Linked DNA regions of Drosophila melanogaster. The protein of the gene in region 2 interacts with the protein of the main gene of each other region in a pairwise test. Each region holds a gene or a part of one and is shown on either strand. Other genes may lie near its edges.

Region 1 (3,864 bases), 1.9 Mb from region 2:
GCATTTAAGGAAATATTAAAATAAGGACCTTACTATAATCAATATTAGGGTGTACAGATGGAATTCGCAAATACTCCCGGAATATTCGAATTTCCTCGTTCTTTTCCCATTTTTCGGCACTCATTTTTAATATGAATCGTTAGGATGGTAAAGTAGAAATAAGCAGCTAAAGGCATCCGCTGTCTTTATATGCATTTGGATCGTGCCACAAAAGTGATTATGCGTATATGATAAGAAAATCGTTATCAATGGGCGGCAGATCTCTTCCAATTCTGACTATATTGCAAGTCACTTTGGATGGCAGTCGAGGTAGTGACAAGAAGCAGTATAGTTGACAATCTGCTACAGAATTCCCATCAGAATCATTTATATCTTGATCAAGGAGGCGAAAGTCAAAGAATCAACAAACAATATTGAGATAAACACGGAATTTCAAATTAAACTCTTGAATCTTTTTTTTTTTTTGATAAGATTACTCTCTAAAATGAAGATACGAGGCACACTTTAGTAATTAGCCCATCTTTATTATAGCCACGATCCATGTAGTTCAAACATTTTGTTTAGACTTCAGCCAGATTGCGAATAATCTTCTTGTACACATCAATGCCATTAAGATACACATCAGCCTGCAGAAACTCGTCGTGGTCATGGATCCGCATGGTGGTGTTTATAATGGGTGAGAATCCAATGGCTGGGGTACCCTTCTCCCGAATGAAACGACTGTCAGTGGCGCCAGGACAAACGATGGGATGAACCTTCAATCCACTAAAACACAGGAGGATTTCGATTAGCCATTATAGTTAATTTTTAGTCGGTACTTACAGCTCATCGATTGCGGCTTTGACAGCTAGCCAGTAGGGATTGGAATTGTCCAGCTTGGTGGGTCCTATATAAGGCTCCTTCTGGAAGAAATCAATTTCAATGCCACCACCCGCCTCCTCGCACCAATCGCGAATCTGTTTCTCAAAGGCAACCACATTCACAGTAATGGCAATCCGTATGTCGAAGACCGCCTCGAAAAGTGGCGGAACCACATTGCTCTGGACTCCGCCACTTAACTGGGTGAGATTCACGGTGGTCACATCGCCCTTGCTGAGGCTGGAATCTCTCGCAAGGTTCTCCACTTGCGAGGTGCGGAATTCAGTCAGTTTGTTGACCAGATAGTTCAGTTTTACTCCTGCCGTATTGGGTAGCAAAAGGGAACCATGACCAGAAGTTCCACTGACTTTCAGCTTGAGTCCTGCATAAAGCGAAACGGTAATGTCCCCAATCCATCATCATCATCCTTATGGAACTTACCCCATCGCAAACGTTCGGCGTAGAACAAATGATGAACGTCACTTTCACTAGTGGCGCCTTCGTCCAGGCTGAATCCCGCGTTCATTTTCTTGTAGTAATCCGTCTTAACAAACTCCGCCATGCCCAGATGACCACCAGTCTCTTCGTCGGGAACAAAGGTCACATACAAATTCCTTTTTGGTTTGAAGCCACTAGCTTTCAGCAGGCGAATCGCTCCTAGATACTGAGTGCCCACCGATTTCATGTCCTGAGTACCCCGTGCAAAGATCCTACCCTCTTCATCAATATCGGCGGAGAAGGGTTCATGGGTCCACTTCTCTCGAAAAACTGGCACCACATCCGTGTGAGAGTTGAGAACAATGGACGATAGTTCGGGTTGACTTCCTTCCCACTTGATGATCACAACGGGCTTCGTTTGAACAGCAGGATAAACCACTTCAACAGGAAGATTTAGGGAGCTAGCCTGACGTTTCAGGAACTCCACACAGGCAGCTAGACATTGAAAGACATTATAACGCAAACTTTAAAGAATTAAAATTAAGTCCTCACTATAGTCAACATCTGGATGCACCGTTGGTATACGCAAGTATTCCCGGAAAATCTTAATTTCCTCATTGTTTTCCCACTTTTCCGAGCTCATTTCGACACTCTTCTGTCATCAGCAACTGAGCTGCAACAAAGATTGTCTGTGCTTTTATAATCACACTGATTGCTTTCATGTTTATGGTCAAGGAATTTAAATGCTTATCAAAAGTGTATGTGGTTGCGATAGTAACGCCCTTATCTGCAAAACCCACACGTCTATTATCCGAATAAGTAACTTTTCTAAGCGGCAAATAGTTCATTATGTATTATCTATGCAACTTACACAGAAATGAGTTCATTGCGTATTATCTATGCAACCTCAACCTTTGAAACCTCAAGTTCTTGGTAAGTTGTCATGTATTTTTCAATATTTTCCATCATATCGTAAAATTATGACAAATTCAATTAAAATGACGAAGCTTTGATTGATGACCTTCGATTTGAAAAAATCAAGTGATTATTTTGGATTTAATGGGCTTCCCAGTCTTCCAACTTGCTATCTATGATGATACAGCAAAATGTAGATACATCCATTATCTACTTGCTGTCGCAAGGATAGCAAGTTGTATTCTTCAGATCTTAAGTTGATTAAGGTATTCGTTGAGATAAGATAAAAGGCCAGGAAGTTTTGTACTAACTTATAACAAAATCATCAATCTTTATTTTGATAAGGTTTTCATGTATTATTTCGATTTAGTTTTTAGACATTCGCTAGGTTGCCCAAAATTTTCTTGTATATTTGAATGCCCTTCAAATAAGTTTCGGCGCCCAAGAACTCATCGTGATCATGGATGCGCATGGTGGTATTTTTGATGGGTGAGAATCCCAAGGCTGGAATGCCCTGAGCTCGAATGTTCCTGCTGTCGGTGGCACCGGGGCAGACAATGGGGTAGATCTTAAGGCCACTATAAACATACAAATCGTATTAGGAACACGCATTGTTGAGCATTCGATTCAGACTTACAGTTCATCGGTGGCAGCCTTGAAAGCCAGCCAGAATGGATTGGAGTCGTCGATCTTTGTGGGTGCCACGTAGGGTTCCTTCTCGTCGAAGGAGATCTCGATGCCGCCACCTGCCTCCTCGCACCAATCGTGGATCTGTTTCTCAAAGGCAACCACATCCAGGGTGATGGACAGACGCATGTCGAAGACAGCCTCGAAATGAGGAGGCACCACATTGCTCTGGACTCCACCGCTCAGCTGGGTGAGATTGATAGTTGTCACATCACCGATGTTGATTGTCTGATCATTGGCCAGCCTCTGAACCTGCGATTCGCGGAACTCCGTCAGCTTGTTGAGCACATAGTTCAGTTTCACGCCGGCAGTGCTGGGCAGCAACATGGAGCCGTGTCCAGAGGTTCCACTGAAATTCAGCTTGAGACCTGCCAAAGAGGGGATATAGTTTAGATTCTAGTCCTAGATGTGTCTCAAGGATTACTCACCCCATCGCATACGTTCGGCATAAAAGACATAGAACAGATCTATTTCACTGGTGCCGCCCTCGTCCAGACTGAAACCAACATTCATGTTGCTGTAGTATTCCGTTTTGACGAACTCCTGCATGCCCAGCTCGCCGCCGATCTCCTCATCGGGCACAAAGGTCACGAAGAAATTGCGCTTGGGCTGGACACCACTTGCCTTAAGCAGGCGGATGGCACCCAGATATCCTGTGCCCACCGACTTCATGTCCTGAGTACCGCGCGCAAAGATCCTGCCCTCCTCATCGATATCGGCAGCGAAGGGATCGTGGGTCCACTTGTCACGGAACACCGGCACCACATCCATGTGCGAGTTGAGAATGACGGAGGGCAGCTCCGGTTCGGTGCCCAACCACTTGATGATCACCACAGGCTTCTTCTCCACTGGATATATAACATCCACGGGAAGATCCAGGCTGTGAGCCTGCCTTTTCAGGAACTCCACACATTCGGCTAGAAGTTAAGATGTACATGAGTAGTGCTCTTCTGTGAATTCCTTGGG
Region 2 (4,250 bases):
CCAATTCGGGTACATTTGCGTGTATTTGGGTATCAGCGGGTGTATAAATAGCGTGTTTTGAGTGATTTACCCCAAGATACAAAAAATCCAGGTTCCGAGGAATACGCTTACGCCAACGATGACCGCTGCGAAACAAATAAAAAAAAACTGCCTAACAACACGATCGCGAATCTCACGCTTTACGAAACGAAACGCTGCTTTAATTTGAGCGTTCCACGCCAAACTATCATCGCACTTAAGCAATTGGCTAGATTGCTAGCCGAGTTAGCCCCTGAACTCCGAGCCCAGTTGCTAAATGGGCCGATCTAAATATTTTTGTTTGCTTGCCCGCTAATTAATTGAAAGCAATCAAGAGATAGGATATAGGTATTGTCAGCGTTGTGCGCCAGTGAACAATGGATCTTTTGCGATATTAGGTATCCATATTTGCATGTTCCGCTTCCACCGTTCCAGCCAAAAGAGCTGCCAGTTTTTGTGGCGTTAGGAATTGCAGCAGTTGAATTTTCGCGCCCACTTTTCCGCTAATTGTTGTCACTCGACTAATTCAAAAACGTCGTGTTTCATTTAGTCTTTATATTAGTTTTATTTCGACTTATTTTTTGTTTTCGCAGGCTCTGAACTGAATATTTTGGCAACCTTTTTGCCAACGAATAAGAGAGCAACTAAGGCGAAAATACTCAAAGTCGCCAGCGATGTTATGTTTTCAGCTGCAAAATAACTTTGCAGTGGGCCCAAAAATTCGTTTCTGAAAAGCACGAAAGTTAAAACATTAGCTCATTTGATCATTGGTTATTAGGATAAACGTTGTGTAGTATTAAATTCGATCTTCTCAAACCAGGAACTGTTTTAACCAGGGTATAATTGATTAATGTAATATTGTTTATGTACAAACTGGATAATATACAACGGTTACGATTAACATTTGGTTCGATATTAATCAACGGAGTGATATTAACAATTGTTTTATGCTCGATGGTGGAATCAGTGTCTATGTTGAATACCCTCAAACTGGCGTTATATGCAACCTTGTACCGGGGACAAAGAATCAGTATTTGTTAACTAATAGTAATTATTAATAGGTTTACAAGTTTTATCTTGGCTCACTTACTAAACACATGTATCAGTTTCTCACAAATCCCTATAAAAAGGTCATAATCGGACTTTGAGTTTAAAATTCGATCGATGGATGAATTTAAAATCATTTTAGCTATGAGAGGAATACTTACACGGCACTTGGGATTGCGGGCACTGGTTGAGGATGGCTCTGGGTATATCCCTTCTCAGCAAACTGGACAAAGGCTTCGGGACTGTATTGCTTGGCTGAATATTTGTACATCTTTCCTTGCCTCAAGCTGTAATGATTATAATTTATATAATCTATTCTTGGACACAACCAAAGCGATCAGGGCTTACAAAATAAAAGCCGGTGCTTCCAATACTCCCAGTCGCGTAGCAGTTGAGATTCCAGACTCCAAACTGTTCATGCGGGCAATATTCAGCTTTCGCTTTAGCTTTCCGCCCACAGACTCCCAAACGGCATAGAGTCGCTGACAGACGGTACATTCGGCCGAAGAGCTGGAAGTGGGTGTAGGTGAGCATATGTGCACATATATGTACATCTCATGACGCTTAGATGGCGACCTCAACGCATGACTAATATAGCTTACAAGAAGATAAACCAGTCCCCGGTAGTGGCACCCGACGAGGCTTGAGTCAGGTGCTCGAAGTTGTCGTCGGAAAGCTCTTTGACCGCTGGCTCTAAGTTGTCATTGAAGAAGTCTAGGATTTCGTCATCGTTGATCTCGCCATGGTATAGAATGGGTATTCCTCGCCTGAAGAACACCAAAGCGGGCTCCTTGCTGGGGTCATAGATGGATACCAGGTTGCTGTCCACCGACTGGACCACAATGGCCGACAAGGTCTCCTCCAGCTGGGCACGTATCTTGGTCACCATGTTCTCATATTCCACGCAGCGCTGGCAATTGTTTTTGTCTGCAATTAAGTGTGCTCGTTAGCCAGTAACCGGTGTACCATCCTCCATATGCACAGTGGACACGTAGGCTGGATTTCTCTGGCTGACTTTCCTACCAATACTCACTGAATAGGACAACCACATTGCTGCTGCCGGTCAGGAGTTGAATCAACTCGGTGTCGTCCACACGCCGCAAATCCTGGCCAACGGCACAGCCCAGACTCAGGGCTATAATAACAACCGATACTATGTGCAGCATTTTTTGGCTGTGGATCTGCAGCAGCGGAGTTGATCACTGGCGAATGCGAATGAATCCGATCGCAACTTGGATGCGGACGCAGAGTGAGCCCGTCTATCGATAGTCGGCGAAATGTATCGTCGCCAGTGATGCGCAAGGTGACAGCTTTCGTACCTAGGTACGTTTGCAGGTACAAATGTGTACCTTGGCTAATATTCTGGTAGATAGGCCGACTACTTAATGAGTACTGTTCAAGAACCTAATTAAGCGTATCAAGCCATCAGGATGTTGGATTGATTTAAGAACCAGTCTGAATCAATGATATGCCCCAAGTTCAAACACAAGAGTAAAATACGAAATACTTTTATTTATAAGACTTTAACAAATAAATAATCAAGTGTAATACAATTTGTAACAATGCATTTATAACTAATTTTGGTATTGATCTACGAACTTCTTCCTTCAAAACTTTCTATCGAGTTTATTACAAAATCGTATAGGTTCTCAATTTGTTGGGCTAGTTTATCTGTAAAAGGGAGAAATATAAATATTAATAATTAATGCTTAAAGCACTATATAGAAACACCTTACCCTTATCTGTCTCTACAAGTTTGCTTTCCATGCCATCGCTCTCACCAGATCCAGACATCATATCATCCTTGAAAATGTTTTTCAGCTTCGGCAGAACCAAGAGCAAGAAAATCAGGCCGATGAACTTGACGATTTTCTTGAATATCAACAGCTTGAGCAAAATCTTTCCAAGCGTATACAGATTGATCTTGGACTTAAGCTTTTCCAGAATGGAGTCGTGCGAATGGTAGGGAATGAACGGAGCTGGCTTGTAAAACGGAGGAGGTGGTGGTCCATAGGAAGGATAGCCAGCTGGCGGTCCATATTCAGGAGGAGGAGGCAGATAGTTGTTGTTAGGCGGTGGCAGGTAGTTGTTGTTCGGCGGCGGATTGTACTGGTATCCATTGTTCGGCGGAGGCAGGTACTCCGGAGCAGGTGTGGCTGGAGGCAAGTAGCTGTTGCTCGGCGGGGAGCTGTAGCTGTAGCCCCCACTATCGTTGCCTAATAAATGCGAAAGAATCTTATAAGTTTAGCATTCAAGGATAATCCAAGAAGTTAATCCAATGACTTCTGTCATAAAGATTTGAATAGTTGTTTGTACACTGAATTATCGTTTTAAGCACTCAGTGCCAATTGATAGTACAGAAACACATATATTTGTAAGTGTATATTATTAATTTCACTTTCAGTTTGCTTTACTATAAGGTTTTTCAGCACTTTAGAATCTCTTTTGATCCCTATTATCTTTCACACACCGAAATCCAATGAGTTCGAGCTTTGAATATCCCCGGAATAGCTATCTCCAGCACTAATGCAAATGCAGGAAGTGCATATAATCAGAACGACCAGGTATTCGGTACGCATTTTGCGATCGCGTTGAGATATGAGTTAAGCGGTTCCTAAAAGTACAATAAACGGTTTGCCTGCCGTCCGTCTCTTTATAAATTTGGGGCCGAAAACATTGTGGCAAAGAAAATATCAGGTGGACGGACGTGTGTGCAAGTATTTATAACTGCCATCGCATTTCCCCCGTAAGGCTTGGCCCCCACTTATAGGGCATATATGTGCAGCGTGGAGCCGGAGTGGAGGAATTGAATTCACTTGTGTATTCTTGCAAGAAATGTGGCTACCGTCTCACGTGCTGTTCAGTATTCATGCTACGTGCAATCGCTTGGATTGTGTTGGAGATTTCGAAAGAGACGCACAGAGTTCAATACAACTTTCACTACCCAACTTTCAAAAAGCCTGGAAATAGCAAACCGCCTATATTATATAGTGTTTGCCAGTTTGTGTTTCATTTGGGCATTTGACATCGAATTTTTGACAAATTGTTAAACCCGTTTTGTGGGAATTACGGATTTGCATAAGTGACACAAATTGAAGACATTTCGGACAAGTGTTGCGGTTGTAATACTTTTGAAGATACTTAGGAATTCTGTCAAAGATTGAAACCGTCATACGCAGTACGCA

The links. Proteins that work in one complex are often made in the same cells at the same time.
Region 1: the proteins of CG11790 (region 2) and CG6733 interact in a two-hybrid assay, tested with the Drosophila melanogaster proteins (one large-scale study listed by BioGRID).

Annotation. Positions count from the first base shown.
Region 1 is NT_033777.3:23,095,834-23,099,697, reverse strand, and holds CG6733 (uncharacterized protein), read right to left. Parts: upstream 1,971-3,864; 5' UTR 1,940-1,970; coding exon 1,849-1,939; intron 1,792-1,848; coding exon 1,300-1,791; intron 1,241-1,299; coding exon 823-1,240; intron 766-822; coding exon 561-765; 3' UTR 507-560; downstream 1-506. Other genes in the region: CG6738 (uncharacterized protein), read right to left, coding at 34-124; CG17109 (uncharacterized protein), read right to left, coding at 2,585-2,789, 2,849-3,266, 3,327-3,815.
Region 2 is NT_033777.3:25,045,767-25,050,016, reverse strand, and holds CG11790 (uncharacterized protein), read right to left. Parts: upstream 2,312-4,250; 5' UTR 2,232-2,311; coding exon 2,099-2,231; exon of another isoform or gene 1,993-2,098; coding exon 1,668-1,992; intron 1,576-1,667; coding exon 1,414-1,575; intron 1,353-1,413; coding exon 1,227-1,352; intron 1,139-1,226; coding exon of another isoform or gene 1,129-1,138; exon of another isoform or gene 1,109-1,128; intron 746-1,108; coding exon 583-745; 3' UTR 562-582; downstream 1-561. Other genes in the region: CG11786 (uncharacterized protein), read right to left, coding at 2,657-2,736, 2,802-3,281, 3,536-3,644.